4 linked regions of the Arabidopsis thaliana genome follow. The protein of the gene in region 3 interacts with the protein of the main gene of each other region in a biochemical or structural test. Each region holds a gene or a part of one and is shown on either strand. Other genes may lie near its edges. The genes, in order: HY5, GPRI1, GBF1 and HYH.

Evidence for each region.
Region 1: the proteins of GBF1 (region 3) and HY5 form a complex in vitro, tested with the Arabidopsis thaliana proteins (one study listed by BioGRID).
Region 2: the proteins of GBF1 (region 3) and GPRI1 form a complex in vitro, tested with the Arabidopsis thaliana proteins (one study listed by BioGRID).
Region 4: the proteins of GBF1 (region 3) and HYH form a complex in vitro, tested with the Arabidopsis thaliana proteins (one study listed by BioGRID).

The regions. Positions count from the first base shown.
Region 1 is NC_003076.8:3,591,052-3,598,776, forward strand, and holds HY5 (Basic-leucine zipper (bZIP) transcription factor family protein), read right to left. Parts: upstream 3,953-7,725; 5' UTR 3,750-3,952; coding exon 3,653-3,749; intron 3,423-3,652; coding exon 3,239-3,422; intron 3,129-3,238; coding exon 2,867-3,128; 3' UTR 2,744-2,866; intron 2,601-2,743; coding exon of another isoform or gene 2,532-2,600; 3' UTR 2,310-2,531; downstream 1-2,309. Other genes in the region: AT5G11250 (Disease resistance protein (TIR-NBS-LRR class)), read right to left, coding at 1-143, 293-909; OCP3 (overexpressor of cationic peroxidase 3), read right to left, coding at 4,506-4,634, 4,726-5,043, 5,221-5,598, 5,786-6,025; AT5G11280 (tail fiber), read left to right, coding at 6,270-6,370, 6,684-6,915, 7,000-7,296.
Region 2 is NC_003071.7:8,852,160-8,860,693, forward strand, and holds GPRI1 (GBF's pro-rich region-interacting factor 1), read left to right. Parts: upstream 1-3,198; 5' UTR 3,199-3,326; coding exon 3,327-3,791; intron 3,792-3,858; coding exon 3,859-3,906; intron 3,907-4,137; coding exon 4,138-4,278; intron 4,279-4,356; coding exon 4,357-4,701; intron 4,702-4,843; coding exon 4,844-4,885; intron 4,886-4,983; coding exon 4,984-5,097; intron 5,098-5,207; coding exon 5,208-5,363; 3' UTR 5,364-5,597; downstream 5,598-8,534. Other genes in the region: RPN1A (26S proteasome regulatory subunit S2 1A), read left to right, coding at 7,052-7,168, 7,489-7,589, 7,729-7,849, 7,928-7,987, 8,087-8,197, 8,401-8,466. UniProt on the Arabidopsis thaliana protein: Transcriptional activator that functions with GLK2 to promote chloroplast development. Acts as an activator of nuclear photosynthetic genes involved in chlorophyll biosynthesis, light harvesting, and electron transport.
Region 3 is NC_003075.7:17,307,357-17,316,339, reverse strand, and holds GBF1 (G-box binding factor 1), read left to right. Parts: upstream 1-3,851; 5' UTR 3,852-4,133; exon of another isoform or gene 4,134-4,549; 5' UTR 4,550-4,587; coding exon 4,588-4,647; intron 4,648-4,736; coding exon 4,737-4,781; intron 4,782-4,892; coding exon 4,893-4,982; intron 4,983-5,089; coding exon 5,090-5,179; intron 5,180-5,298; coding exon 5,299-5,438; intron 5,439-5,524; coding exon 5,525-5,582; intron 5,583-5,660; coding exon 5,661-5,709; intron 5,710-5,795; coding exon 5,796-5,917; intron 5,918-6,005; coding exon 6,006-6,083; intron 6,084-6,167; coding exon 6,168-6,293; intron 6,294-6,400; coding exon 6,401-6,490; 3' UTR 6,491-6,671; downstream 6,672-8,983. Other genes in the region: HB40 (homeobox protein 40), read left to right, coding at 26-107, 453-781, 1,449-1,691; HVA22K (HVA22-like protein K), read right to left, coding at 6,672-6,769, 6,870-6,942, 7,024-7,119, 7,225-7,288, 7,450-7,501, 7,654-7,751, 8,165-8,223, 8,509-8,571; HAM4 (GRAS family transcription factor), read right to left, coding at 8,820-8,983. UniProt on the Arabidopsis thaliana protein: Binds to the G-box motif (5'-CCACGTGG-3') of the rbcS-1A gene promoter. G-box and G-box-like motifs are cis-acting elements defined in promoters of certain plant genes which are regulated by such diverse stimuli as light-induction or hormone control.
Region 4 is NC_003074.8:6,020,667-6,027,452, forward strand, and holds HYH (HY5-homolog), read left to right. Parts: upstream 1-3,177; 5' UTR 3,178-3,304; coding exon 3,305-3,368; exon of another isoform or gene 3,369-3,441; coding exon 3,442-3,628; intron 3,629-3,720; coding exon 3,721-3,919; 3' UTR 3,920-4,044; downstream 4,045-6,786. Other genes in the region: IAA31 (indole-3-acetic acid inducible 31), read right to left, coding at 1-152, 250-374; RBL14 (RHOMBOID-like protein 14), read left to right, coding at 4,280-4,495, 4,719-5,507; AT3G17620 (F-box and associated interaction domains-containing protein), read right to left, coding at 5,832-6,786. UniProt on the Arabidopsis thaliana protein: Transcription factor that promotes photomorphogenesis in light. Acts downstream of the light receptor network and directly affects transcription of light-induced genes.

The sequences.
Region 1 (7,725 bases), on a different chromosome or scaffold from region 3:
TGTCTAGGCATAACAACGGTTTCATCTTTTCTAAATGAGCTCTCATCCCAACTAACCCGTCGAAATCACGTGAAGGAGTGGAATTAATCAATATGTTCGAAATATCAGTGGCGATTTTCTTGATCATGGCCGCTTCATTATCCCTAACAATTAGGTGGGGGAGAGAAAATTACATTTAGTAAATAACCATGGAAATATCACACACATTCAAAAACGAATTTCTTTGATGGGTTTTGTTTCAAAGCTAAAGATGTATATAGTTTACGAGCAAGTAGAAATCATAAGGACTAACCAGTTGATTGAATGGTAACCAGCTACTGTGGCCACTTTTTCCCAAGCTTGTCTCCATCTCCCAATGTCCTTCTTTGGTTTACCGGCACAAGTTTTTCTAAAGACTTTCCCGAAATCTCCGGTCAGATTTTTTACATCAGAAGGATCCACTTTGTAAAATATGGCCATCACAGTTTGACCATACTCTTCTCTGCATTTCATAATCTCCACCAGTTCGTCAAGACACCATTTTGAAGAAGCATAGTTCCTAGAGAGCAAGATAATTGCTATCTTAGACCCTCTAATAGCCCGCAGAAGCTCAGGACCGATGGATTCTCCTCTTTTAATCTCATTATCAACGAATGGAGTGATTCCCATTCTTTGAAACTCCATCTGAATGTGACTGAGAAAGTCTCTACGGACATCTTCCCCGCTGAAGCTGGGAAAGACTTGGTGTGTCCAGATGCAAGACGAAGAAGGTGGAGGAACTGATGAAGGAGACAAAGAAGATGGAGATGATGAAGGAGATAAAGAAGTTGACTTCTTTTCTTTGTTATCATGATGGAATCTGAGTTTTCTCAAAAGGGTGAAGAAGCCTATTGCAGCTGCAACAGTGGTAAGGAAAAACGAAGAAGCCATAAAATTAGTAGGATCAGTATCACAGTTTTCTTATCTCTTTTCTTGCAGTCAACTATCACAGAGCTTTAAAGAGGCTCTGTATACAGTGAAAAACGTTGACTCCAATCTCCATTGACTGAGAATGTTGAAACTATTACATATATACCCCAAATTCTGGATATTTCTCACAGAAAATTACAAGAACGGGTCCTACATGAGCAACTAGCAAGAGAAGAAGCTTCGTTCAATAATGTTTCAATAGCAAAATGAGGTCCAACGAAAAAAAAAAACTAAATATAAAATCATAAGAAGCAAACAGCAAAAGGAAAATTTAACCTCACAAGCATAAACAAGACACAGAATGTAAGAAACAGTAAAAGGAAAGATAATGTAGAATGTAGAATCATAAGGATTTTTCATTGGTTGTGAGATTTTGATTCTAAGAGGAAAGCAGCAACTAAAAAACTCAAGATAAATTTCAAGAAAGCATTGATCAAAATCTGAGTTCCATGACTTAAAATACTTACATTGCTGTTCACTCCTCAAGCTTTCTCTTTGTCGGATTTTTTGCAAATTGATCAGCGATATTGATGATATGAGAGATTTCTCAGGTAAAACGTCAAGCCTTTGCCTCACTTCCTGTTCGCAAGATGCTAGAAAGCGAGATATTAGATTCTCTATTCGCCTGGATATACTGATGACTCTCTTCTTTTAATCTCATTATCATTGAATGGAGAGATTCATTTTCTTTGAAACTCCATCTGAACGTGACTGAGAAAGTCTCTACGGACATCTTCCCTGCGGAAGCTGGTAAAGACATGGAATGTCCAAATGTAAGACAAAGAAGATGGAAGTGGTAAAAGAAGGAGAATAAATTTTTCTTTGTTAACATTGATAGAATCTGAGTATCCTCAAAAGCATGAGAAATAATGTCAAACAATCCATAGTACACTAGCAACTAGCAATAGATGAAGATGAGATCCACGAAAAATCTAAAATAGAAAACAAAGAATCAGAAAGCATACAACAGGTAAAGAAATGTACGATTTTGTCCATGAAATTCGGTTGTGGCAACCCGATTCTAAGAAGGGAGCAGCAAGTTCAAGGTAGCAGTGACAGAAAACAATGTCTGGATTCCATGGATTTTAGAAAAAGGAAAGCAAAAGTGTAAGAAAACACTTACATGATTGCTCATCTCTCGAGCTTGACAAGCTTTGGCTGTAAAAGATCGACCCTACCCTCTTTGTCCGATTTCCGCATAATATGATCAACGGCATCTTCGTTTACAAATCCATGGCGACTTGTCTGTAAGAAATCGGGAGGGATAGGGGCAAAAAGGAAAAAAAAAAGAGTAAAGATTCCACTATCCCAGAATTTGTTTGGGACTTTGAACTGCGGGAATCGAAAACGCAACCTTTCTACTACAGTGTCACAATGTCATATCATAGAACAAAAATTAGCTTATTTTTGTTATAAAACAACATTATGTTTCAATTAAGAGAAATCTAAGACTACAATAAGAGAACTTGGTCTACAATTGCAATATTAGCTCTCACATCCCATATAATTTTAACATGATAATTATTGATACAATTCTCTGTAAATTTTATCCACAAAAATATAACACAAGAAGAAGAAGGAGATCAAAGGCTTGCATCAGCATTAGAACCACCACCACCTCCTCTCTTGTTTCCTGTTGTGTTCTTCAGAATCTACACCACATAAAAAACATAACAACTCAAAAGACTTTATTACCACACACACACATAGAGATCCAACTTTGCAATCTCATCTTCTCCATTCATATAGAACAAAATGAGTGAGCATTTCAAGAACCATTGAAGAATTTACATGCCTTTTGAGAGAATATGCGAGTGAATGACCATTTCAAGAACCTACATGCCTTCTGAGAATTAATCTAAAGCTTAAGTTAGCTTCTTAGATCCTTTTAACTAACTAAACTAATTATTGGTCAATCCTAGACTCGTAAATGTGATAAACCAGTACTGTGATATATCAAAAAACAAATGGCAAAAGCATTGACGTTGCAGGTTAAGTCAACAGTAAGATCGACAAAACGTACATGTCTAAGCATCTGGTTCTCGTTCTGAAGAGTAGAGAGTCGCTCTTCAAGTTCAGAGTTTTTGTTCTCCAAGTCTTTCACTCTGTTTTCCAACTCGCTCAAGTAAGCCTTTTTCCTCTCTCTTGCTTGCTGAGCTGAAACTCTGTTCCTCAACAACCTTTTCACCACAAAATTACCAAACAACCCCATCACGCAACCGTTATTTAACATAATCACCTTCCATATAAAGGGTAAAAATGTAAATTCAATGAATAGAGAAAAAGACACCTCTTCAGCCGCTTGTTCTCTTTCTCCGCCGGTGTCCTCCCTCGCTTCCTTTGACTTTCTCCGACAGTCGCCTGTGTCCGCTCCTGACCGGTCGCCGATCCAGATTCTCTACCGGAAGTTTCTTTTCCGACAGCTTCTCCTCCAAACTCCGGCACTCGCCGTATCTCCTCATCGCTTTCAATTCCTTTAAAACATAAAAGAGACTTTAGACGAAAAGTTTCAAACTTTTTAAATACAATAAAAAATTGCAGATCTTCTGGGGGAGACTAAAAGTTGTGAATCTAGATGTGAATCAATGGTGATACAAAATCTAGATGTGAATTTACTAGATATCCAATGCATGAGAATGAAAATCAATGAGATCACTCGTTGGGAGAAGATATGAAAATAAAACAATCGACAATTTTTGTTTACCTTCTTTGATCTCCAAATGTGGAGCAGAGCTTGATGACCTCTCGCTGCTTGATGGTAAAGAGCTTGCAGCTAAAGAGCTAGTCGCTTGTTCCTGCATTTTTCTTACTCTTTGAAGATCGATCAGGCGAGAGAGAGAGGGAAAGATTTGTTGTCTTAGTAGCGAAGCTGGTGAAAAGGATAAAGAGGAAAAGAGCGGGACTTGGGATTTACAGAAGAACTTGGAAAGAATCTAATTGCGAGACATTTTGGGAAGGAATAGATTACTCTGGCTACCGCCGTCAGATCTCTGAAGAATCGAACGGATATCGAGAGTGAATCGTGGAGAAAGGTGAGCCTTGAGGAAATACAAGGATCCAAAGGCAATTGAGATTGGAACGTGGGTGGATTTTAGCCGTTAGATCTGGTTAGCATCTTACGGTGAATAATGGATAGGGGAGCTAATTGGGTGGGCCCCATTCCTGTCCTTGGACAGAAAAGTTTGGTCTGAGTTCTTTCATTCTGTCACATGGCCCACGCCTAGGGCAGTGCTTTCAAAAGTGTCGTGAAAGTAATTTATTTTATTTTTGGTGATTTGTTTTTGTCATGCATTAAAATTAAACTTTATAGCCGCCATAAACCAAACAAAGTTGAAACGGTTTTCTACAAGACACAATCTCAGCAAGGAAATAACTAAAAACTGAATACAAGATATCCTAAAATTTCATAGTCCAACATATCCAGCCACACCATTGGACAGAATCTACTACTATAAACACTCCTCGTATCACCAAAAAAACTTGTCCTTGACGACAATGTTGATGAGTTTCTGAGAATCAAGTATACAAATCATTGCCATCTCAACGTTAACATTAGATCAAACCGGAGCTTGATATGGAGCTCGCTTATCTGGAACTCCGTCTTCTGCTCTTTTATCTTCGAACCACTTCAAAACTCGCTTCCTTGGAAGATTGGTCACTTGAACAATGCTGCTAACCACAGCATTCTATTCACAGCATCATCAAACATGATCATATGTGAGATAGAGCATTCAAGTAACATAGAAATTGATTCAAATGTAAAAGGAGAATCCTTACAGTGGGTCGTTTTGATCTTCTGTAAACTTTCTCTAGCGTTTCAATGTGAGCTTTCTTCACTCTTTTCTGAGCAGACCATCTCTGTTGCATCACATGAACTGCTTCATCTTTTACTTTTTCCTTAGGTTCGACCACAACATCTTCAGCTGATAATGATTCCACAGGACTTGGATCAGGTGAGGAGTTCTCAGGTGCTGCTACTGGCGGTTTTTCATCTGGTAGTGTAGCACTTAGCATTAGCAGCTTTGGAGGCGGGTCACGAAGCAATTCAAGAACATAAGCCCTGTCAAGACAAACCTCAGCTGCCAGATTTTTAATCTACAGATCACAACAAAACCATCCGTTATCAATTATGCATTTGAAAACCAGAGAACTACTTGTTCTTTGTCAACTCTTAAACAATTCGTAAGCAAAATCTCCAAAGCAGACACTAACTCAAGCACTATGCTTTACACAATGTATTCAACATCACTTCAACACTGAACTAAAACTTACACTAGTTTTACGACGCCCAGCTTTCAATGCATAAGCCAGTCTTTTAAGCTGCCAATTCTTCAGCTTAGTCGGTCTTTCATCTTCTTCGCTGTCATCATCATCATCATCATTATCATCATCATCATTATCATCATCATCATTATCAACATCAACATCAACATCACCAGTGACTGAACCAAACAAGTCGATGTCATCAACATCGTCACCAACACCCAATGCTCGAGCTAACTCATCGGCTAATGCCTCTAACTCTTCCTCACTTATCTCCTCATCATCCGAGTTATCATTCTTCAAATCTTCTTCTAAAAGATTAAACAATGCCTCAAATGGATCCTCCTCCTCCTCACCTCCTCCATTATCAGCTCCATCCAAACTTTTCTGCCACAAACCATGAAATCAAAGGCTGATACAAAATCAAAAAGAGCCAAAGTCTAATTCGAGGATTCACCAATTCTAACCGATAATAGCTCACTTAGTTAGTGTATCCAAATTCTAGTCAAATTCGGCGAAAGCAGCAGGTAAGAGCAATTGCGAACATAAATCATTCTCATTCTGATTTTCTTACCTTTTTGTTTTTCTTCGGAGACGAAGAAGACGAAGACACGAATCCTTTTCGATTCTTGCCACGAGCAAAAACAAGTACAGACCGAGACGGATTGAGAATTGGAAGAGATAGACCACAAGGACTAGCGTTCCGATTCCGAAACAGAACTCTGTTGACGGATAATCCTGACGACGAAGAAAACGACGGAGGATGAAGATGAGAGACGACGCCGGCAGAAGATAGAGCCATGGCTTTTATCATCAAAACTGTTTGCTGTTTTCAGCAGCAGTGAGAAAAATAATCGGATTTTTATATGAATCTTTGTAAACGACGTCGTTTATCCCTTAAAGATCTAAACACTGACTCCGTTTTGTGTTTACAGTGTAGCAAAGCGTGTCGTTTATAAAGTATTTATTTTGTTCTTCGTCGTTATCGTCTGGTAACAACGGGTCCACTCTGCATCTCTCTCTCTCTCTCTAGATTTGATTTCTTTGCGGGCTTGTTAATGGCGAACCCAGGGCAATCAAAGGGATGGATAAAGAAATGGACGTCTATGGCTTCATCGGTTTACTTCGTCTTGATCTTATTCCAGATCCCTCTCTTCAGGTAAATTCATACTAAAACAAACTCTCAGCTGCGTAATTCGAACCCTATATTTCGTTATCTAGTGATGCGTCTATGAATCCGATATGTGGACGACGCTTAGTCTTTCTCTTGCGTAAGGTTGATTAATGAAAAACTTGATTTCTGATTCATTTTCAAGTTTCCGCATTTTTGTGTAGCTGGTTTTAGTATGAAACTCTAAGCTGATTCAAAATTTTATCAGTTGATTAGAATCTTAATAATATGGATCATTAGTCATTACTTGGTTTGTTTGTCTCTCTGGTTGATCTGACTTGAATCGTAATCTTAAAAACAGAGTTCCATGTAGATCTGGTATGTGTTCATCGCCAATCCATGTGACATCGTCTCAGTTGATTTCTAGTGAGATCTTTCCTGTTCCGATGATTAAGGCTCTCTTATACCCTGGTGCTGTAGTCAATGGCCTTGCCATCAACATGACATTTCCAAAGTGGGAAAATGTGTTAGATATCTACAATCTCACCAATGTGAAAGAAGCTTCTGCAGTGACCGATCTTCAACGCCTAGAGGTTCGCTTATTCTATCTCAAGAGCTCCTAACACAGTTCACTTAAGATTCTACTAATAGTCTCACAAGTGATACATTTTGTACAGGTTCTTGCAGGGAGCTACTTTTCTGTAGCTGGGGCGTTTGTGGGTTTGCTAAAGCCTGGAAGGATGAGCATGTTTGGGTCATTGCTACTAGTATGGGGTCTTGTTAAAGAAGGGATCTTAGGGAAGCCAGTAAATACTGACCCAGCCAAAACTGTTTATGTGTACCCAACTATGGTGCTTGCGATGATCTGCGCTTTCTCTATGATAAAGTATGACTTGAGGAAAGCCACGAGGGCAGCTCCAGCTCGTCCCATTGCTAAACCTCTAATGAGCTCTTCAAAATCTAAGCTGAAGTGAGTTTTTTGAGACTTAATAGGGCTTGTGTCCTGTCTTTGTACCAACACCCGGGAAAGGAAAATGTCCCGGAAAATGGCATTGTCACTATATTTTGCTCTCAGTTACCTTATGTTTCATGAATTGTCTATTTTCTAGGACACTGCTCAGTAGTCAATATCTTCCAATATCAAAAAAGCACATAAATACGAAAATTGAAATGAGTAGCAATACAAGGGGTTCCAATGAAAAACCATCGTATTGCTTCCAGTTTCATAATTCGTCCATCTTGCTCTTCAACTTGTTCGTGTAACAGCTTATTAACTGTAGTTTTTGAGGAATGAATCCTTGATAAAGTCCCCCCTTTCCCCATATAATATAGCGTCTCTTTACTTAACCGAAAAGCCTATAACATTCACCACGAGAGGTTCGGATGACTTGGTTAAGTCCTAC
Region 2 (8,534 bases), on a different chromosome or scaffold from region 3:
CACGAGAAACTCGGACATTATTTATTACCGTTAAGAAAATCAAATGAAGAGATGTTTTTCAGTAATAGAAAGGAACAGCAAATGAATTCAAACTGTAGCTTTCAGTTCATGGTCCCAACTAGTAGTTGAAAACAAAGACAAAAGTTTGCTCACCACAAGCTCATCCACAACAAAATAGATTTTTCATTTTAACCAAAATAATAACGAAAATAAACTCCACCAGTTGAATCAAAATATTGGTTTAATTGTTTGTGATAACAGTGACAATTTTTTTCATGAAATTTTACAAAGCAAGAATTATTGAAGTTTACTCACGCGGTTGCGTTTGTGGTCTCTTGCCAGTTGCCACCGCAACAAAGCATTGGTCTTCTTCGTTTTTTTCTTTACGTTTTTGTAATTGTGTTTGTGCTTTAACTTTATGTTATAACATAAACATGCAAACGTAAACACACACACACACACAAAAACGGTTATGGTGAAGCTCCAACACCAGCTCCAAAGTTAATGACTGCGTAATGGAATGTTTTGTTAGAACTAATTGGAAATCGATTGCTTTTCGTGTCTTTGTAATTGAAATCTATTACCATTATTTTTGTAACAAATAAAAGTTTTGGCCTTTTAATTTGGGGATACTGAATTTTATAGCCTATTTTCACAAGAATTTGATTTGTTGTTTCTATTGGCGATTTTCGAAATTAGTAGACCGTTTTCCCTAGCTATTTCCAAGTTAACAGGAGAATCGTTCCAAGTACATATATACATATGATATGCTATTTACAGCGAAAAAGATGATGAGTGTTGGAATCATAATTAATGACCAGTAGTCCTTTTACGAAAGTTGCACTTCATTTTTAATTACAAACACACATGATATCATTTCCATTCTAGTCGCTATCAAGTCACATGTGGGTGTGGTGGCCCTTCACGTCCACTGATTGTCAAACCTCTAATATCAGTTTCAAAATTAATGTACATATATAGCTTTTCATCTCCATCTCTATATAGAGATTCAATACTCAATTCAATATAACATTTGTATATTACTCGAGCTCATAGATTTATTTTATTGACCTATATATTAAACTTATTGGCTAGCTAGCTTTTTCTGTTATTTTTGAAATTTAAACTTAGCTAGTTTTTAATATTCCAATAGTAGAAGAAAACTATGAAAACTCACTGTAACTCCATGCTGGGAGAAGGGATCCAACATCTCACCAACCAGAGTGTCGGGCCGTAGACTGAACTAGCTGACTGTGAGATCTTAGATCATTCCAAAATCAACAACTCCAATAATTATTTATTTTCGGTTTCTAAATGAAACAATCTTTATCCTTTTCTTTATCTTAAACCAAATCAGTTATATAGAAGATTAAGTCATTATTAAAAAGTATCATCAGATCATCTCATAAATGGTAGCAACAAAACCACTCAAATATTCAACTATAAATTACTCCATCATTTATAGAAAGGAGCCTACGCATATATCTAGCAAATATTTGGAACTCTAGTACTTGACTTTGAGAAAACCCTCATTCAATATATATAGAGTTGTGTTAGCCTATAAGGGCCTGAAAGTATGTGGAATTTCTTACAATTTTCTTCCTTCACGATGTATATATATATATGCCGTACGAATATTGTGAACGTGAATTCGATTCAAAAAATGTGATGTGGAAACGAGCAACAACAATTATTGTAGCTCTTGAGGACCCATAGGACGTGCATGTCCACTTATACCTAATGAGACAATTCTGTCCTTTTTTATAAGAGCATCTTCCACAGCTTAATTTGCGAGCCTCATTCACGTCAATATATAAGGGGTATGTGATACGGTAGATGGATTGATTATTTACATCCATCTACATGTAAGTTGACCAGCATAGACCTTTTACATAGTGACATAGAACCGTTGAAATGCCATCCGATTGATCAATAATGTTGGGACAGACCAAAACCAAGATACCAAAACGGTAAAGGGACAAATGCGACAATCAGATATTGAACTTTAAAGTTGTGGCTCTGATCCAGTTTGGCAACAACTTCACTTAAATTTTTGTGTTACCAACAAAACAGGGAAAAAGATTCGCTAAAAGAGTTGCCTAAATATATGTTTGAGCTTGTTGTCGATATTTTATGTTTATCTAAACAGTAAAAAAAAAAAAATTTATGTTTTATTTACCACATTTAGAACTAGGCATATATATATATATATATCTTATTATATAAAGTATGGTTTTTAAAGTTGCTAACTCATAAGATTGTGTCACGTGTCAAGTCAAACGATCAGATGTTTACATGTATCATTCAAAATTTAACTTTTTTATTCTCTAAAATTAAATAGAAAATCTTAAAAAGTAAACAAATTTACATATACTAATTTATATGTCTATATATTTATAAACAATTAACATTTATTCAACAAAAGGAAAATTAACAAATTTGTCTTTAACTCATGTAATCATAAGTGAAAATAGAACATTTTGAGAAAAATAGCTTATCTTATAGGATTTAACTTTTCAATTATTTTCATTTATTAATTTTAACTCATTTAATATTAATTTGCATGATGTAAAATTAACTTACGAGATTACGGCATATATAGAAAATATATTTTCAACAATGTTTGGTTTCTAAATATTTTGTGGATTTCTTTTTTTTATTAATTATTAGCCCTAGGCGTTTGGGTATTCGGGTCGGGTATTTTGGGTTCGGGTTTTCGGGTTTAGAAGTTTAGGACCCGTTCGGGTAATTTAAGATTTCGGGTCGGGTTCGGTTTGGGTGGGTTTGAGTTTATTTATATATTGAAATATCAAATTTTGTGTGCAAATCTATTAAATTACTTGAAAATTTCAAAAATTCCCAAAACAACACGAGTAGTTTTGCTTGAATATATCTAAAAATACACAAAATAATTAAAATATCCAAAAAATCCTAATATTTTCTATATATAAGTATAAATATAACTAATATATATTTATATTTGAAATATGTTTGGATACGTATTCGGGTTCAGGTTCGAGTTTTTTGGGTTTTGAAGTTTAGATCTGTTCGAGTATTTGAAAATTTCGGGTACACCCGCCTCAATAGGCGGGCCTTATCTAGTATATATATATATATATATTTTTGTGATGGATTTCTTTCTGTCTCTCTCTATATATAGCATATAAATGAAAATGAATTATATTTGCCTTTAAGGGAGAAGAAAGAGACTTACTTTGGATATCAAAACATGTCTTGCTCTCTATTCTAATTAAGTCTAGCCTATCTACAACATACATAAACCTCTATCTACGATTATATTTGGATCTACAAGTGAAGATTGATCGATGTTAGCTCTGTCTCCGGCGACAAGAGATGGTTGCGACGGAGCGTCAGAGTTTCTTGATACGTCGTGTGGATTCACGATTATAAACCCGGAGGAGGAGGAGGAGTTTCCGGATTTCGCTGACCACGGTGATCTTCTTGACATCATTGACTTCGACGATATATTCGGTGTGGCCGGAGATGTGCTTCCTGACTTGGAGATCGACCCTGAGATCTTATCCGGGGATTTCTCCAATCACATGAACGCTTCTTCAACGATTACTACGACGTCGGATAAGACTGATAGTCAAGGGGAGACTACTAAGGGTAGTTCGGGGAAAGGTGAAGAAGTCGTAAGCAAAAGAGACGATGTTGCGGCGGAGACGGTGACTTATGACGGTGACAGTGACCGGAAAAGGAAGTATTCCTCTTCAGCTTCTTCCAAGAACAATCGGATCAGTAACAACGAAGGGAAGAGAAAGGTGAAGGTAATGATTTTAATCATATCATCTATATATAAAACATTAGTCTTATATGAATAAAAACCCTAGCTAGACTCGATTAAATGAACAGGTCTATAATGGATTCGTATTTTTTTTAAAAGTGGATTATTCGTTTAGAATTCATTTTCTTGCTAAATCTTCTAAATTTTTCATATTTCAGTCATGTTTACAAGACTCGTGTAAAGACATCACGTGCATCTCTATAAGACTTTTTTTCTTTCAAATTATGTAAAATAGTCAGCTGCTAATTGTGAATTTTATATAGTATGTGAAAAAGTATTGAAAAAATAATGAAGATGGTGGTTATATATATGTTGGGATGTGTGTGAAGGTGGATTGGACACCAGAGCTACACAGGAGATTCGTGGAGGCAGTGGAACAGTTAGGAGTGGACAAAGCTGTTCCTTCTCGAATTCTGGAGCTTATGGGAGTCCATTGTCTCACTCGTCACAACGTTGCTAGTCACCTCCAAGTTAGTATATTTCTTTTCAATTTCATTCTCTAATATTAACCATCCAAATTAACATGTTGCTGTTATTTGGTATACTAGAAATATAGGTCTCATCGGAAACATTTGCTAGCTCGTGAGGCCGAAGCGGCTAATTGGACACGCAAAAGGCATATCTATGGAGTAGACACCGGTGCTAATCTTAATGGTCGGACTAAAAATGGATGGCTTGCACCGGCACCCACTCTCGGGTTTCCACCACCACCACCCGTGGCTGTTGCACCGCCACCTGTCCACCACCATCATTTTAGGCCCCTGCATGTGTGGGGACATCCCACGGTTGATCAGTCCATTATGCCGCATGTGTGGCCCAAACACTTACCTCCGCCTTCTACCGCCATGCCTAATCCGCCGTTTTGGGTCTCCGATTCTCCCTATTGGCATCCAGTAAGTTCCCACATTTATGAAACCTTTACTTTAGCTCTTTATCATATTTGTTTTCATCATAGTATTTAACATTATGAAAGCTGAATGACACCGAGTATTTTTATCATATGCTTGTCTTTCTAACCAGCATTTTTGCATGTAGATGCATAACGGGACGACTCCGTATTTACCGACCGTAGCTACGGTAATGAACCAACATTTATAAGATTGTTTCCGTATGTATACCCCTTTTTGTTTCTATATATATGTTTTAAATCGTATTTTTGATTGGTAATTGTATAGAGATTTAGAGCACCGCCAGTTGCCGGAATCCCGCATGCTCTGCCGCCGCATCACACGATGTACAAACCAAATCTTGGATTTGGTGGTGCTCGTCCTCCGGTAGACTTACATCCGGTAAGAATCTAATATAATGAATTGATTGTTGTCGAGTTTTGACTTTTCGCATTTGATTATGTAATTATGTATTTTTGACTTTTTGTGTATATATATTATAAATGGAACAGTCAAAAGAGAGCGTGGATGCAGCCATAGGAGATGTATTGACGAGGCCATGGCTGCCACTTCCGTTGGGATTAAATCCGCCGGCTGTTGACGGTGTTATGACAGAGCTTCACCGTCACGGTGTCTCTGAGGTTCCTCCGACCGCGTCTTGTGCCTGAAACGCACAAGATCCGTAGGCAAGCGAGAACCAAACAAAAATTCGACGACATGTCTTTCAATTATTGTACTTTTATTTTTCCAAGGGTTGTTTTTGTTTTGACCCTTGTTGTGTTAAGAGTTACTCTTTACTTAATCGTCCCATGTGACTAATAAGGAGACCCTTTTCATATGTATCTAGGGTGCTAAGTACACTCTAGCTCTATTAACGCAAATAAATTACCTATATTTTCTCTAACCATTGGTGATTTAGAACTTGATTGCTTATATAAAGTTTTTTTATAAAACATAACACAACAAATTTCCATATCAAATGATCATATGGAAATTGGAAGCGTTCAAAGCAAAGTCGCAAACGACGACCAATTGATTATAAAGAGGACAACCTCACGAGTATATATACACTTATAATTTATAAACATAACTTATACTTAAAAATACCAGCCGGTTATATATGGTGAAAAATGAGTAATGAAATTGTGTGTTTACCATGCATATATTACCGTATAAAAACGTATTGTTGGGATTGAGAGAACAATGGCATAAAATAATAATGAGGAGAGAGGGAGAGGACCACGAGATAAGAGGAGAAGGAAGTGCATGGAGGCAACGTAAAATCCAACGTAACGACCTCTTCTTTCTCCAATTGTGACCACTCTCTCTCTCTCTCTCTCGTCTCCTTCAAATTTGAATGGTCCCTCTCTCTTCATAATTGATAATTCATATACATGCGGATACTATTACTAGCATCTCATTTTCCACTCACACTTGTACACATATGCTTTTTATAAGTACGTATTTATAGGCAAAAGTAAATATATTCAAACCCTACATGCATGGTATTAAAATCCAATATAACCAAAATGAATACTCGGTTCAAATTCAAAAATTTAAAGGACTTTGGTCGAAGATAATGAAGACAAATCATTTTTTTTTGTTCTAACCGGACATTCCAAATCGAAATGCACACTAGTTTTTGGTGCCTACATCTACATTGGCTAACTTTTACTAAAATCATAGTGAAAATAACAAAAAACCATGGTCTCTATAAACTCTTTGGTGAAGATTTCAACTACTAAATTACCATGAGATAGATGGTCAAAAATTGTCAATATTGAATTTACAAGGATCATGAGATATTTCAACAATTTTACTAATGACCAGATCCAATGCAGTGAATTAGACGAAACTATGACTTCACTAGGTTGTGAAAGAAAAGCTTGTCTTGCAGTTTTGTCTGCGACCGGTCGAAAAGAGAATGAAAATATGTCGAAATCCTCTTCAAACGTGAAATAAATTAACTGTCATAAGGATAAATTATGTTTGTTCAACCATACAGAAATATGATGAATAAATAATTTTAGACATGTGGGCCCATGTAAGAAGAACTCACTAAATGAGCCCAATACGGTTAATGGGCTGTGACATTGAAAAAGAGGTTGTAATGGGCTGATTGATTCTATAGTGTAGAAATCTTGATCGAGGGGTTATCTTCTCCGATTCCAATATTTAGATTCTTCTTCATATATTATTGTGCTTTGATTAGAGAGTTGCAGAAGAGTTTTTTTTGTTTTAATTCCTGCAATCAGAGAGTTTTCGATAGCACAAGCACAAGCTTCTCGATTCGTTTGAGTGTTCAAATTTCAAGCTTTTTACAAGGGGTTCCTTAGATTGATCTGTTACTGTAGAGATGGCTCCAACTCAGGATCCCAACAGTGTCGGAGGCGGTGCGAAGAAAGATGAAGCTACCTTGAAGGTTCCGTCTAAGGATCCCAAGAAGAAGGACGAGAAAAAGGATGAGGATTTGGTAAAGTTTCTTCTTTCTCGGTTTTTTGATTTATCGAATCCTTTTTCGACATTGTGTGTCGTGTTTAGTATCTGGGTTCATCAGAAACGAATTAATTTCAAATCTGTAAGATCTGCAGTTAGGTTTTTAATTGGAGTCTCGATCGAGTTGAAGTAGGGGTGTTATAGAATTAGGGTTTTTAATCTGGCAAAGTGAGTGTTTTGTTCGTCATTAGACTAGCCGGATTAGAAAGTTGTTAACTTGTGATGTGAGGAAAGTTTTTTTTGTTTGTATATGGTCACTTTCTTAATGACTCGACTTACATTGGGTTGTGATTGTAGTCTGAAGAGGACTTGGAACTAAAGCAGAACCTTGAGCTCTATGTTGAGAGGGTTCAGGATCCTAATCCGGAATTGCAGAAGGCTGCCCTTGAGAGCATGAGGTAATTCTTGACTTGATCAGCTTCGGGTTTTCAGATTATTGCCACTGAAGCTTGTACAACTTATAAAGCTTTTTTTCTTTCTCTCTGCTCTTGGTGTACATGTTTATGTTTTTAATTAGAGTTTTATTTGGCTTTGTAGGCAGGAAATCCGAGCTTCAACAAGTTCCATGACTTCAGTTCCCAAACCACTAAAGTTTCTGCGTCCCCATTATGGAACTCTTAAAGCGTTTCATGAAACAATGGCTGATTCTGATCTCAAAGTATGTCATCATTGATTTCAAGTCATTAACAATTCTTATATTGGTATGGCTTAAAAATTACATTTGCTATGTTTGCAGAAGTACCTGTCCGATATCCTGTCTGTCCTGGCCCTTACCATGTCTGCAGATGGTGAAAGGGTATGCTTCTACTGACTTGGGCATACTTTGTATTCTGATTTGTATTTTTTAAGGCATACTTTGAACTGCTAATCACTTTCTTTTACAATATAATTCCAGGAAAGCTTAAGGTTTAGATTGATTGGAACAGAGGGTGACATTGGATCGTGGGGTCATGAATATGTCAGGAATTTAGCTGGAGAGATTGCACAAGAGTATACAAAGCGTCAGGTTAGAAATCAATTTTCGATTTTGTCTTTGGAAATTCAGTTTCTCGTCCTAGGACTTGTGCAGATATTCTAAGATTGTTGGAAGTTGTGTTTGGGTTTATCCTTCTGAATTCTGATGGTTGGAGTTTTGAGGAATGACTAAATGTGTCTTATTCAATGAGAAAGGTCACTGAGTCATATTTATCTACCTGTTCATTATCTCAGAGTGAGGAGGCCTCTATTGACGATTTAATGGAGCTTGTGCAACAAATTGTTGCTTTTCACATGAAGGTGAATTCCTAAACTAATAGGGCTTGAGATTAGCACCTCTGCGATTTATTTATTTCTAAACGATTTCA
Region 3 (8,983 bases):
TAAAGACAGAGAGAGATCCAAGAACATGAACTACACGGTGGATGATCAGAACATGGCTTTTATCTCTCAACTGTACCCTGATGTCTACACTCAGATAGTACAACCAGGTTTGTCCTTTTTTGTAATTAGTTTGTTCGAAATTTCATACCTTTTTATTTAAAAGTTCGACAAAACCCAAAATTCATGGATTTTCTTATAAAAATAGAAGTGGGTTTTGTTTTTAGTTTTAATTTGTCCGAAGTTCTTTATCCCCTCACAAATTTTGTGGAAGAAGTTATATATAAGAATTCAAGTGGATTATGTTATGTGCATGAGTCTTTAAAAGAAAAAAAGTTCTCGACTAATACGCATAAGCCTAGTTAAAATCTTGGTATCATCTACGTGCATGTGAAGTGTGAACACACATCAAGAACAATCTAAACTTTATTTAAGATGTTTCTGCTTTTGGTCAGTAGGAGAAGTGAAGCAGCCGAAGCGGAGGAGGAAGAAGACCAAAGGATCCGTGGCTTCCGCAGATGGAGGCAACGGTTTGTTTAGAAAGAGGAAGCTGACCGATGAACAAGTGAACATGTTGGAGATGAGTTTTGGGGATGAACACAAACTTGAGTCGGAGAGGAAAGATAGACTTGCGGCAGAGCTAGGGCTTGACCCTCGTCAAGTTGCCGTTTGGTTTCAGAACCGTCGCGCACGGTGGAAGAACAAAAGGCTCGAGGAAGAGTACAATAAACTCAAGAACTCACATGATAACGTCGTTGTCGACAAGTGCCGACTTGAATCTGAGGTATTTCTTATTTTTAATGTTTCAATTACTTCTTCTTTTTTTCCATTTCATGCTCTACTTTTTTTTTTTTTTTTTTTTCTTGCTCTATTCTTTTTTTCATTATGAATATAATAAATATGGGTAGAGATAATGATTACTTAAGGGATATATTAAAAAACTTTTTCCAATCCAAATTTTAAATCTACATAGATAATTAAGGAAAATGCTATACGTTTAACTTATGCATGAATCGGCTATTTTTTCAAGCTTTTTCATAATAGTAATTAGAATTTTCGTCCGACCTTTTTTTTTTTTTTTCACCTTGTTCCTACACTCAATTGCATAGTAAAAGGTAAACAAATTCTTTAGATAATTATTGTTTGGCATAAATGAACGTGAGCTCAAGGCTCGAAGAAATTAGAAAATTCAATAAATGAGACAGAAAGTGAAGTTGATAACAAAAAAAATATTGATATCGAACAGTATAATGCCACCTTATTACACAACATATACACCTTTATATGTTCCGTACAATGTTCTTATTTTCTTAATAGTGGCTTGTCATTGTCAATGGGCTCAGTTCAACAGTAGGCCCACTGACTAAAAACACCATTTAAGTGTAATCAGATGCTTGCATCGGTGATTTAAGCTACGTAATGATTAATTTTACAATAATTTTCCTGAACAGGTTATTCAGCTCAAAGAACAACTCTATGATGCAGAGAGGGAAATCCAAAGATTAGCAGAAAGAGTAGAAGGAGGCTCAAGCAACAGTCCAATTTCGTCTTCCGTTTCCGTCGAAGCTAATGAAACGCCATTTTTTGGAGACTATAAAGTCGGAGATGATGGCGATGACTATGATCACTTGTTTTATCCGGTGCCGGAAAATAGTTACATCGATGAAGCGGAATGGATGAGTCTATACATATAAATTACTAGCTTAATGTAATATTATATCAAGTTAGTATCGTGAATTAGGGAAGCATATTTCTAAGTAAATTTACTAGATTATATAACTGTTGCATTTCTAATGTACAAATATATTGACGATGAGTTTCTCGCTAATGTAATTTGGCTATCTTTATGAAAGCAACAATATAAAATTGCTTAAGTAGTTAAAAAAAATTAGCTACTTTGTTGAATTAAATTTCTAAGAAAAATATATATGAATTCGTTAGGATTTAATTATAATAAGTAAACTGTAATTTGGTTTCACTAACGAAAAAAAAAGTGCGGCCATAAAAGCAGTATCGGCTGCAAGATTCGAAAAACCTTTACTTTTAAAATTGTAGAAGACAAAGGACTAGATGACATGCACATGAAGATAAGATGAGCAAATTTGTTAAAACTTTTTATCTCCATGGATAAGAGTTTGCCCGATTTATACAAAAGAGAAGTTCGGATAAAATATAACTAATTCTGGTAAAACATTTTGAGTCAACTTTTATAGATCGGTTGACAACTAATGTGTAAGCTTATATTATGGTTTATACATAATATATTCATCACGTAATCATTATTACTTATTAGTGATCTGATCGCATAATATAAAATGAGAGTATTAGTCATCAAAAGTTACCACGTATCATGCGTTTCTCAAAATGTTAGAAAAAACACATCGTTTTCTAATCAACGGAAAAATCAAAGTGTCTTTGGACAAGATCAGATGTTCTTTTGATTAAAACCTCTTCCAGTAATTGTAAACTGTACAAGTGCATTTTCTGAAAATCAAAGTTTTCTTGGACATGACTAGAGATTCTTTGATTAGAGTCTTCTGGATTTTGATTGACGTTAAGATATTTTTGATTTAGACATATACTAAATCCTAATTAATTAAAATTATAGATCGAAAACATTATGGTCTCGTAAAGTTTAGAAACTATGGACCCACGAAGAAGTGTTTGGCGAATAAGCGAAGGATTTAATTTAGTTTTGGGTATATAGAAAACGAAGTGTAAAGAAAACGTAACGTTATGGCTCTTTCTAAATTGGGTTTGTTTTAAGTACTCGTAACCACTTTCAACACATTCACTGTATATAGTGTGTTGTATTATATTGTTTGAGTCGTCATATGATGAGATTGTATATATATAAAGAAAAGTCTTGGACCTTTTGATATGGTGATCCATCACATCAACTACGTAATGGTAATACTAATGCTCTACGATAGATGCTATATTTACCTAAGAAAACCGATTTTTTAAGAATGCACTGAATTTTGCTATCAATCAGTTAACTATTGATAAGTCATATTTAGATTTTTATTTTGTTTCATTTGTAAACAGAAAATCACAAGACGTTGGAGACATCTTGGCTTGCTCCTGGCACCTATAAAAAAATGTATGTTTGCAATAATATTAGGGACTTATTAAAGTAGGCCCAATGGGCTTAAGATTCCACCAAATTAGCTTGACAAACACTAAGGGCCTGTCTCGGATATTAGTTGTTTTTAATTAGCAATTGAATAAACTGATGCACGTTGACTCTCTTTTTTTCGTCGTCATGTTTGATTTTTTTTTTTTTTTGTCGTCATGTTTGATTAGTTCTTAAATCTTAACGATAAGTTAAATTATCGATTTAATATCAACAACTGTAGCAAATTTTAATATTCTACGTTAAAAAACTTACTACTATTTTTTTTTTTTTTTTCAGTAAAATGACACAAACATGCAAACCTAGAAAATAGCTTTGACTTGGTTAGTTTCTTGTTAAAGAAAAAGATTACAAACAATTAACATAATATATTATGCACTACAACGGGAAACAAAATTAAGAAAAAAGACTCTTTATCTACAAAAAAAAATCATATAAATGTAAAAAGGGTTTTATCATTGACAATTTGACAGTTATCAATTTACATCAAAATATATTTTAAATGTTTTTAATATTCATGTACTTAATTAGATCGCTAATAATGATAATAAATTGAATATCCTTTTTGATTGTAATAAATGAGTAGATGAGTCACACCAACTGTAGCTACCGTGTCAAAACCTTATCCAGTAACACGTGTACAGCTGGACCTCTCATTGTCGCACGTGTCAGATCATCAAACCCTAAAATTAAAATCCCAAAGAAAAAAAAAACTTTCCTCTTTCTTCGCATTCTTCTCCTCCTATCGGACTTTGCCACACCAGATCGGAAAATCCCAATCCTCTTTTCCTTTGTTTTTTTTGCTATCTTCAATCAAAAACTCTCCGACAGATTCAATGAAGCAGCAAAAGAGATAAAACCCTAACAAAAGTAAACAATCGGAGTTTTAATCTTCTTCTTCTTCGGAGCCGGAGTTTTGTCTGATCTGTCGGAGAGGACGTGTCGGCATCTATTAAAATCCTAGCTGGACTTCCACATCACTTTACTCAATTAGAAGCTGGTCTGTTTTCTCTGTTTTTATTCTAACTTTTTCTCTCGTTTAATTTCTCATATGCAAACAAACACCTTTGCATGTAACTGATTCTGTTGTACTTGAATTGAATTCTTTAATCAATTATGCAAACAGAGCTTGTTTTGGAGATGATGATTCACAAGTATGAGATTGTCTTTCTGCTTAAGAATTCGTTGAGTGTTGGTTTCTGAAGTTTGAATTGTGTGTGTGTGTGTGATTTAAAATACTGATGCATGGTTCGAAGCTTAGAGATTTTAGATTGCTATAAATGAAAGCAAAAGAACAGTGCCCTTACTCTTGTTCTGTTTTAAAGTCATTGATTGTTATAATTGAAAGCAAAAGATTTTAGTTTTGATGTTTTATGATTACTATTTATCGTTAAGATTTTTGATTTTTGTTTATAGTTTTGAGTAACACAAGTAAGTAGTAAGCTTATAAAACAATGGGAACGAGCGAAGACAAGATGCCATTTAAGACTACCAAACCAACATCTTCGGCTCAGGTTAATCCTTCTCTTCTCCTTTCTTTTCAACATCTTTGTTCTGTTTTATATTTTAAGGTGTTTGATGTATCTACCTCTCTCTTTTTCAGGAAGTTCCTCCCACACCGTATCCAGATTGGCAAAATTCAATGCAGGTTCGTGTTACATGTACAACTTTGGTCACTATTAGTTTTTATAGTGTAAGTGAATACTTTCTCGAAAACACCGGGACTGCTGAACATAATAGTATATGCTTATTTCTTTAGGCTTATTATGGCGGAGGAGGTACTCCAAATCCTTTTTTCCCATCCCCAGTTGGATCTCCTAGTCCTCACCCCTATATGTGGGGTGCTCAAGTAAGTTTTGTATCGTATAGTTGTTGATATGATTCTATGAAAAAGAAGTTTGCATCTTATTCTTTGGATAACACTAAATGAGTTTCTCTGTTTTGCATTACTTTCAGCACCATATGATGCCGCCTTATGGCACCCCAGTTCCGTACCCAGCAATGTATCCCCCGGGGGCAGTCTATGCTCATCCTAGCATGCCCATGGTAATCTCCATACCATTAATACAACATTAGCTATCGTTGAAAGCTTTTTGCTCTGTTACATGGCAATGCATAGATAAATGAGAAAGTAAAAAACTTGCTCGACATTTCTTTTGTTGTAGCCTCCTAATTCTGGTCCTACCAACAAGGAGCCTGCGAAGGACCAAGCTTCTGGCAAGAAGTCAAAGGGGAACTCGAAAAAAAAGGCTGAAGGAGGTGATAAAGCGCTCTCTGGTTCAGGGAACGATGGTGCCTCTCATAGGTGATTTTTATAACACTCTACTCAACGTGGTGCTTGTTCAGTTTGATTGCAGTGTCATATGTAATTATGATTTTTCCGTTGTGCAGTGATGAAAGTGTCACAGCGGGTTCATCTGATGAAAATGATGAGAATGCCAATCAACAGGTACTGTTATGTGTTTGAAGTGTTCTCTGTTGCTACAATACTTTGTGATGTGCTTCATTGAGATTCATGTTAATGTAGGAACAGGGTTCAATTCGAAAGCCAAGCTTTGGACAGATGCTTGCTGACGGTATGCTTTTGACCGCTGCAGTTTTCATGGTTTTTCTTTGCATGTATTTTCCATGTTTCTTGACTTGGTAAAGTTTCCTTGAACAGCAAGTTCTCAAAGTACGACTGGTGAAATCCAAGGTTCGGTGCCCATGAAGCCGGTAGCCCCGGGGACTAATCTGAATATCGGGATGGACTTATGGTCTTCCCAAGCTGGTGTACCAGTGAAGGTGTGACCAACTCCTCATTTCACCCTGCAAGGTTGCTTTTCCGAATTCGTTACATTCTTCCTTACAAAATCCTCTGATTACTCAACAGGATGAACGAGAGCTCAAGCGGCAGAAGAGGAAACAATCTAACCGTGAATCCGCTAGGCGGTCTAGATTGCGGAAGCAGGTAATATGCATTTGTGTGTTAGTATCATTTTACTCTGTCTGCTTCTTGTAATTTACTCATTCCATAATAAACCATTTCGAATAGGCCGAATGCGAACAACTTCAACAAAGAGTAGAGAGTTTGTCGAACGAGAATCAAAGCCTGAGAGATGAGCTACAGAGACTCTCAAGCGAATGTGATAAGCTCAAGTCTGAGAACAACTCAATCCAGGTGACAAACTCTTTATCCGGAAAAATTTCTGCGAAAATCATACTCTTTCCAACTTTTATCTTATTTCTATCGGCTTGCATTTACACTAGAGTCATGGAATAATGCAGGATGAGTTGCAGAGAGTACTTGGAGCAGAGGCTGTAGCTAATCTAGAACAGAATGCTGCTGGGTCGAAAGATGGTGAAGGAACAAATTAACACTTAGGAAAATTGGAACTTTACAACGGATTATTGGGATTTTTCAACACCGGATAAAAAAAACTGAGTCCAAAGTCATTTGAGATTACGTAACTATACAATCGTTTGACATTTTTGTGTAATAGAGATTTGACCTACAAGACTGTAGAAGCTGCAAAAGCTACGATTACACTTTGTTTTATTAGTCTTCGTGATTGGAATCGGATTCTGAATCCGAGTTTGTTTCTGAAACGGGGCTACCATTTGCTATTTCTCCTAGTCGTGGTGCATCCTCGTTGACTGTTGGAACAACACAGCAAGTACAAATAAAATAGTCAGTTCAATACCCTGATAGCAAAGTATTACACTAAAGATAGAAAATTAGAGTTCCGAAACAAACCTGATCCCAAGATTTTGGCAATCATTGCTCGGACAAACCGTATTTCTCCTTGGTGTGACCTAACGACCTTCACCTGCAGTTTTTTGTTTTGTTTTAAAGCGTTAGTTAAAAGTGACTGAAGAATAAGGGAGTTCAAAAGAAAGCAATCGTGTACCATTTCCCCATATACACCATCCACAAGTTGGTCCACTCTAGCTTGGTGTCGTAAGAGGAAAGGACGGATCTGGTTGTTGTATATCTGTTTTGATCCCTGTTGTCGGCAAATAAGAATATAGAGAATATCAGAACTGATGAGTACCACGGGTTAAAGCTGCCTACTCGTTAGATGATGGTTTAAAGAGATTCCGATAGGTACCTCAACAGTTGGGAGTTGAAGCCAGACGAGGAACGCAAACTTCACATGATAGTACAGCGGGAACCTGCAAATAATCGAGGTTATTGAGTATCAATACTTTGCGAGTTTATCGAGATAATCAAGCCATTTCTCTCGATAAAGTCCATTAGAAGAAATATCTTATTTGTCTAACATAACAGCAAAACCATCAAGATATTGTATATAGTTTCAAGATGTCAATCATACCAGGAAATGATCTTGTCCGTGAACACTTCAACAAGGCTGAAAGAACCATAAGCTGCAAAGAAGGTGAAGATAGAGAAAAAACCCCATCAAATTCCATGTGAAAGAAGGCCAAGGGAGATTGAAAAAAAACTATTGAAGATAAACAGTCAAAGAATAAGGAAAGCAATTAGAAAGGTCATAACAATTGCAGTAACAATATCCCACCTGCCCAGTAAATAAGCATCTTTTGTTGTTCATTCTCATCTCCACTCTCAATTGCCTTGAAGGTAGAGTACACAGGCAAACCGATGCCAATGGAGCAGCTGCAGGAAACAAGTTTCAGACATACCACACAAACGTGTCCTTTATAACCGAATCCTTTAGTCAACTACAGCTATAACACCTTCTAATAGAGAAAATAACCAAAAACTCGGATAAAACAAAAAGAATCCAGATTCCCCAACAATAGATTGACCCTTGTCCAAAAGATACCCTAAAGTATCACAACAAGTAGAATAGAACCCTTGTCCACTCGGCTAAGTTAATAACTATGTCAACAAAAAAAAAAAAAAAAAAAAAAACTCCCTCCCTACCCCATTGCTTCACATGTAATGAGAATCACTCAATCAGATCACAATCTCACCAATCAAATCATTCCTCCAATTCATTCGTCTACCTGTACCATTGATTCTAGCAACTATATGGCTTTCTTCACCTTACAATAAAAAAAACTCACCATGCTGTACGAAGTACGATATTGGAACTAAGTGGAGAGAACAATACACGCAACCCAACCTGAAAATTCCATTGAGAAAAACAATTGTTTCTCTCAATCCAAAAGTTGAGAATATCCACATGATCAGGAATTGAAACACCTCTTTCTCTAATCGGCTTTTGTCAAAGAGTAATCCAAACAAAAAAACAATCCAGTACAGAAGAAATCTGAATTCCAACAAGGCAGAAGATGAAGGAATCCTAAATATACATATTTAATCATAAACTTTATCACGAATCCCCAAATCACGGATCGGAACAAAAGCCGTACAATCGGAAACATCAATCAAACTAAAGGAAGATTACCTCGCCGGTGAGTCCAGATCCAAGAAGCGCCATGGATGGAATCTGTGAAGCAAACCCGCTCATCGGCGATTCGTACGACGGTTTTACCAAATTGACGACGAACTCGCACACTCGCAAAAAAAAGGTCACTTGTGTTTTGAATAGAGGAGATTATGAATCATTAAAAGACTCTAGCTCATACAGAGACTCTTCGTAAGAAATATTTTTATTTCTTTATTTGAAAGATAAACAGCAAAAAGAAAAGAGATATTAAAGGCGGTAAATACAATTATTCTATTCTATATCATATTGTTAAACCAAACCCGGTTTATCTAAAACCGCCAAGCTGATGTGGCAACAAGTGCTCTTCCATGCCAGCACAGCACCAATTCTCCTTGTCGTTTCGCCACGTGGAATCCTCTAACTTGCGCTTTCTCCAATAAACACTCAGCTTGAAAGTCGGCGAACTGGCTTAGCTGTATCGGCCTCATCCCGG
Region 4 (6,786 bases), on a different chromosome or scaffold from region 3:
ATACGCAAAGGTCGAGTTTTCTTCCAATGGGAACACCTTCCATATAAACCTTAACAAAGAGAGAAGTGTCATCACCACGACGAAGAAGACGACGACCCTTTAGTGTATCTCTTAATCTAGACTTTATCGGTGGCCAATCTTGTCTTGCTTCTCTACAAAAAAATAAAGATTTAAAACACAAATGTGAACAAAAGAAAACAGAGCAAAAACAGAACATAGGAAAAAACAGAGAAGTGATGTGAATAAGACCTTTGTGGAGAAGTAGAAGGAAATGTGAGACTAAGGGAGAGATTAACAGAAGATTCAGAAGGAGAAGGTTTAGTACTGTCGACAGAGGATGAAGAAAATGAAGAACAAGAGTTAGAGACCTCCATTAATGAGACCTTGAAGCTGCAGAGCTAGCTTCATGCTTCCTTCTCTTCTCTATTGAGAGTGCTCTTCATGTCTCTCTCTCTCTATTTCTATTTCTCTCTGTCTAGTTAAACAAAAAAGGACTAGTAGGTGATTCTATTGCATAGATTTTGAATTTAAAAATTGATTTAATCGACTTTGAAATTTAATATAAATAAATAATAGGAACATAAGGTTCCCCACATTTAACTATGAACTTTCAACCTTCTAAATATGAACACACATTGATTTCTGAAAACCACTGTAATAATTACCCGATTAGATACTTAATTCATGGGTTTAGATCTTTGGAGTTAGTTAGTAGTAAAAATGTGAAATTATGGTTTTGAGATTTGTTTACATGTAAGATTCGAAGTTTCCGTAAAAAGGTGGTATCCAAGGAAAGTGTGTCTAAATGATGTTGGAGTTAATCTGTTAAGGCTTTGATTTTAATTTCTCAACTGCTCAGATTCTTTAATTAGGAGAGATAAGGGCCAAAAAAGGCTTTATTGTCTAGCCGTAAACAGAAACAGAGCATCACATCACTTTCACTTTCTTACACATCAATATTTGAAAGAAAAAAACTGAGTCTATAGACTATGAACTTGGGGGATCAATTTTTTAGACCCTTCTGTTGATAAGAAAACTCAATTGTCTCTTATGACACATTAATGTAACAGACCATTGAAAATTGCAGAACCAATAAAAATAAGGTAGACTTGAAGAGTTTTGTGTATATTGTTTTTGTGGAGCAGACAGTGTTCTTTTCTTTAACTATACGTTTCCTGTTAATGTCTCTTTAGCTTTGTGGATTGTCTCTCTTAGAAGCCCAAATCTTTTACTCTTTTTTGAAAATCAAAATAGAATTCGTTGATTTATGATAACTTCAAAATATAAAGTAGACATAAATTGTTACATCACATAATGCTCATTGGCTGTATTGATAATAATATTAGATTCTAGAATCATCATGGGAAGTGCACTCTAATAGTTACTTTGTAATAAAGCCTACCTTGGATGTTGGATCGATAAGACTCCTATTAGCTATTATACGATCTGTCTTTGGACATGCATGTCTGGTCTCTAGGGATCCTTCTTGTTAGAATTTCGATATATATAACTTTATAATGTCTAGTAGTCTAATGATGAATGTTTACTCCTCTTTATACTTATAATAATAATTAAGACTACTATAAGTCTATAATCAATTAAACTTTTATCAAAAAAATATGTCCAAGGAGTTATTACTCGCATACCTCGACTTAAAAGAGTTTTGTCATTAGTTTTCGTTGAAGTAAGTAAGAACCAAAGATAATAATCAAACTCCTGATTTTCTGAAGTTTCTTAAAATGGTATTCAAATTTTGGCCATAACTCTCAATATATTAAGACCGAGCATGCGAACGAGAAAAAATATGATCACCATGGTTTGCAGCTCGATTACTTCTAAGTTCTAACCATGGTAAATTTAAACGTTTTGTTGAAGTAATATAGAGAGGCATGCAATAGTATTGTGCCAAAAAGTTATAGCAAGAGAGATCAATATCATGATATGTACTCCTAAATTAACGTGGCATGTTCATGCATAGACAAAGATGCAATCATATCTCCACGTTTGCATACAGCTTCAAATAATAAAATCATATAGTCATACAAACAAAATGAATGTCCGCTGCTTATGAAAATTAATTATTTGGATAGTACTTCGTATAAAAGTTACATCAAATGATTTTAGTTGATTTTAAGACAAGGGGTCCCTTGAGTGATACACAAACTCATCATGAGTATTCTGATCCATTTCATGACGAATAAATTAAAACACAATCAGAAGGTTGATCATGGGTTGGGAAAGATGTATTGGTCGGTCGATATGCCACATGTTATATTATGTTTTATACTTATTCCTGAATAGAAAGATATGTATGAGTCGAAATATACAAAAGAAGGATGAAACTTGTTCTTCTTTATAACCTTATAAAATGTTCACATTGTTTATGAGTGATTTCCCGCGTCCATTCCATACGACTTCATGATTAACATCCCTCAATATATTGATTATGACAATGTTCGAAAAAACTGTTAGATGCCAGGCAGACGACGATTCAACCGGCCAAGTTTTGTTTCCGCGCGCGCGCATAAGTCCACTATCTAATATGCAACCATTACGGTAGAAGTTTACTTGGTCCATTTTCATTGATAACAACAAAAAATCGTAAAACTTTAAAATTATGATGAAAAACGTAAAAAAGAACATGGGAAAATATATGGCGGAATCACAAAGCATGAAAAAATGCTTCGGAATGATTGACTGAATTTACAATTGGTAGAATTTAATTTTAAGAGATAACATTTAAAAATTCAAAACATTAGTTAGCTGTCTTTATACAAAAGAGTTATTTGTGTACCAAAAAATAGAAAACGAGATATATGACCACATGATGAGTTTATGCATGCCTATTACGCCATGCAAATAGATACACACACACATAGTTGTGCCTCTGACTTTGTCTGCAAGTACGTTTGTATGGTTCTAGACAGTAATTATTGTCCTAAACCCACACGCTCTGTGAATACTCACTAAAGGTTGTTTTCCGTAGAAATCATGAACAAAGACTTTAAAAGCAAAACAGAACAATAAATCAATTAATAAGTTCAACGGGATATAGTGGAAAAGAAAACACAGATACACACCATTGGATTGAAACAGTTGCATTTGTGGTCTTACATAAACCTACGTGTTCTTTTATAAGCCAACCAATACTTTTCTCTTTTTTTTTGTTTGAAACGAGTTGCAGACTTTGAGTGGCCCCAAAGAAGAAAGAAAAGATGCAATTTCCTTTGGTTTGATATTCTCTTCAACCTCTTACCTCTCTATTCTCGTCTTTAGCAAAATCTCAAAAGACAAAAAGATATTGATGTCTCTCCAACGACCCAATGGGAACTCGAGTTCGTCTTCTTCCCACAAGAAGCACAAAACTGGTAGGTGTTGAAAGAAACTTATCTAATATTTAACTTAATTTGGTTTAGAGAAATTGGTTTGTATAATTCTCAGAGGAAAGTGATGAGGAGTTGTTGATGGTTCCTGACATGGAAGCAGCTGGATCAACATGTGTTCTAAGCAGCAGCGCCGACGATGGAGTCAACAATCCGGAGCTTGACCAGACTCAAAATGGAGTCTCTACAGCTAAACGCCGCCGTGGAAGAAACCCTGTTGATAAAGAATATAGAAGCCTCAAGAGGTAATCAATGATGAGTAAAAAAACTTTTTTTTCTTAGCATTCGATTTGTGGAATTGAAATGGTAAAAAAGAAACTGTGGTGAAAAATTACAGATTATTGAGGAACAGAGTATCAGCGCAACAAGCAAGAGAGAGGAAGAAAGTGTATGTGAGTGATTTGGAATCAAGAGCTAATGAGTTACAGAACAACAATGACCAGCTCGAAGAGAAGATTTCTACTTTGACGAACGAGAACACAATGCTTCGTAAAATGCTTATTAACACAAGGCCTAAAACTGATGACAATCACTAAATATTTACCCTTTAATCCATTGTTCAGTGTTGTATGATTATCTTTCTTTCTTTTTTGGTTTTGGTTTGTATACACTTTTTGTTCGAATAACATTCACTTTGAGCATCATTGTCATTCAGATTTGCAAAATAAAGTAAAAAAAAACGAAAAAAGGCAAGAAGAGATTAGGTATAAAAACTAGAGTTCTAAAATGCCGTGGTGGGTCCCACATGTTCTTATGCGAGTGAAACGAAGAAGTCTCTGGAGAATTTGTTTTCGTAGAGACCAAGCTGCTGCTATATAAATATTGTGAAAGAGATGAGATTTTAATTACTTGTAAGTGATTCAGAGAGATCAGAAGAAAAGAATAATTACGAAGAAATGGAGAATTTTGGTGAAGGGAGAAGAAGTGGAGGCGGAATGTTGCCGTTGCTGGCTCTAAGCGCCGTCGCGGAGTACTATAGACTACCGTGGAAACCACCGGTGACGGCGAGTCTCCTGGCCGCGAACACTCTCGTTTATCTCAGGCCGGCGTTTATCGATCCCGTTATTCCTCACATCAGTGAGGTCTGGTTCAATCCTCACCTCATCTTCAAGGTAAACCAATCTTAATAAATTCCTTCATTCGCCAAGAGAAATTGATTGCAATTTGACCGATTTCGATCTGAAATTCGAATTTGAGTTTCCTGGGAAATTTGTACCAATATCTGGAGAATTAGGGATTTTGTTCTTCGATATCTAATTAGATCATTCTTGATTGATTAATTCTATTCTCTGTTAAAGTTTTTTTTTTTAATCTTGATGTGTATTTGTTGAACAGCATAAGGACTTGAAGCGTTTATTTCTATCAGCGTTCTACCATGTTAACGAGCCTCACTTAGTCTATAACATGATGTCACTTCTCTGGAAAGGTATCAAGCTTGAGACATCAATGGGAAGCAGTGAGTTTGCTTCAATGGTCTTTACTCTTATTGGTATGTCTCAAGGAGTCACATTGTTGTTAGCCAAATCGCTTCTTCTCTTGTTTGACTATGACAGAGCTTACTACAACGAGTATGCGGTTGGGTTCTCGGGTGTTCTCTTTGCTATGAAAGTTGTTCTTAATTCTCAAGCTGAGGATTACTCAAGTGTGTATGGTATCTTGGTTCCAACAAAGTATGCTGCTTGGGCAGAATTGATTCTAGTGCAGATGTTTGTACCTAACGCTTCGTTTCTTGGGCATTTGGGTGGAATCCTTGCTGGTATTATCTATTTGAAGCTGAAAGGTTCTTACTCAGGCTCAGATCCAGTCACTATGGCGGTTAGAGGTGTATCTCGATTGGTGACGTGGCCCTTGAGGTTTCTGAATGGTATGGTTAGGTCTCGGAGAAGGAGGATTACGGGGAGAGGAAGAGTGGGAAGAGGTCAGACTGGGATAGCAGGACCTGGTATTTGGAGATGTCAGTCGTGTACATATGACAATTCTGGTTGGTTAAGTGCTTGCGAGATGTGTGGCTCGGGACGGGCTAGAGGAAATGGATGGTCACTGAATCAGGGACCAGCACTTTCTTCTTCTAATGATCTCCCTTTAGATGAGCTGCGCCGTCGAAGAGTAGAGAGGTTTAGTTGATCTCGGGAGCGCATTCTTAAAGCTGAGGAAGGATTGTGAATGAAGCTTTGTTGAATCATTCATTGCATTAGCTTATGAATAGCAGAGTTAGTGGTCGTGTTTTTCGATCTGTTTCTTCAATTTGTCTTCTCTTTTGTTGTTGAAGATTTGGTTCTACGTGAACTGGTCCTTTGATTAGATTGCTGAAAGTAGCGAGTGATTCAGATAATATAGTATCTTCACACCAAACTTACAGTTTCACAGACTTTCGATTTTAACAAAATTTTATCCTATTTCAAACCAAATTTTGTTGAAAGAAGAAGATCACAAAGCAAGATATAAATGTTAATCAGTAATCAATTTCCCTTTTTTCTTCCTTTTGCCTCCTTGCTTGATTTGCGCTGAGCTTGGAACATACGAGCACACAAGTGGATCTCGAATTTTATCAGTAGTTTTTCCGAGATCCACTTCTTTGTAATATCCATCCTCTCCAATGATGTAAGCTGTGTTGTGAGTGGGATACATTACATCTTTGTCTTTAGCAAAGACTACAACAACTTTCTTCTCTTCGTCAATGATGAAACTCGCATCTGCAATTCCAAACTTAAAATCAGTGAGTGGTTGCATATCCACTGCTAAGAACAACTTGCTCCACATCACCTCTTCAGGTTCAATCTTAGTCGTAACCCAAATCTCCATATGTAAGTTGTCCTTACGCTGAAATAACACAGCAAGTTGCTCTTCTCTAACACTAGAAAGACTCACAGTATCTACATCCATAGGGTAACACGGCAAATGAAGACGCGGCCCAAATCTCTCCGATGTAAAATTAAAACAGAGCAAGAAATAAACACTATGTATAAGATTACTGCTGATTTCTGGAAACTTGTCTGTAGCAAACCAATAAGTATTTCCCTTGAGAGAGACACCTCGTGCATAAAACTCTACTTCCCAGTCGGAAGTGACATCGAGAACCCTCCATGAATTAGACTTTAACTCGTATATTTCGTACTCAACAAATTCTTCTTCGGCAAAATCAACGAATCGCAAAACTTTGTAGCGTAGGCTTGATTTACGCTTCTCGTATCCTATAGCACAGATATACCAGTCCATTCTATGGTCAGGACTACTGGGTTTGAGCCACAAAGTTTGGCTCCTATACGGATTCCAAACCACGACCCTAGTGTAGTCTTTCGAGATACATAACAGTAAACCGTCGCAGTGATATACTTCAGATATATCGATCTGATCTGTACCGTTTAGGCTAACAAGTTTAGCTTGACGGTTTATAGACGGGTCA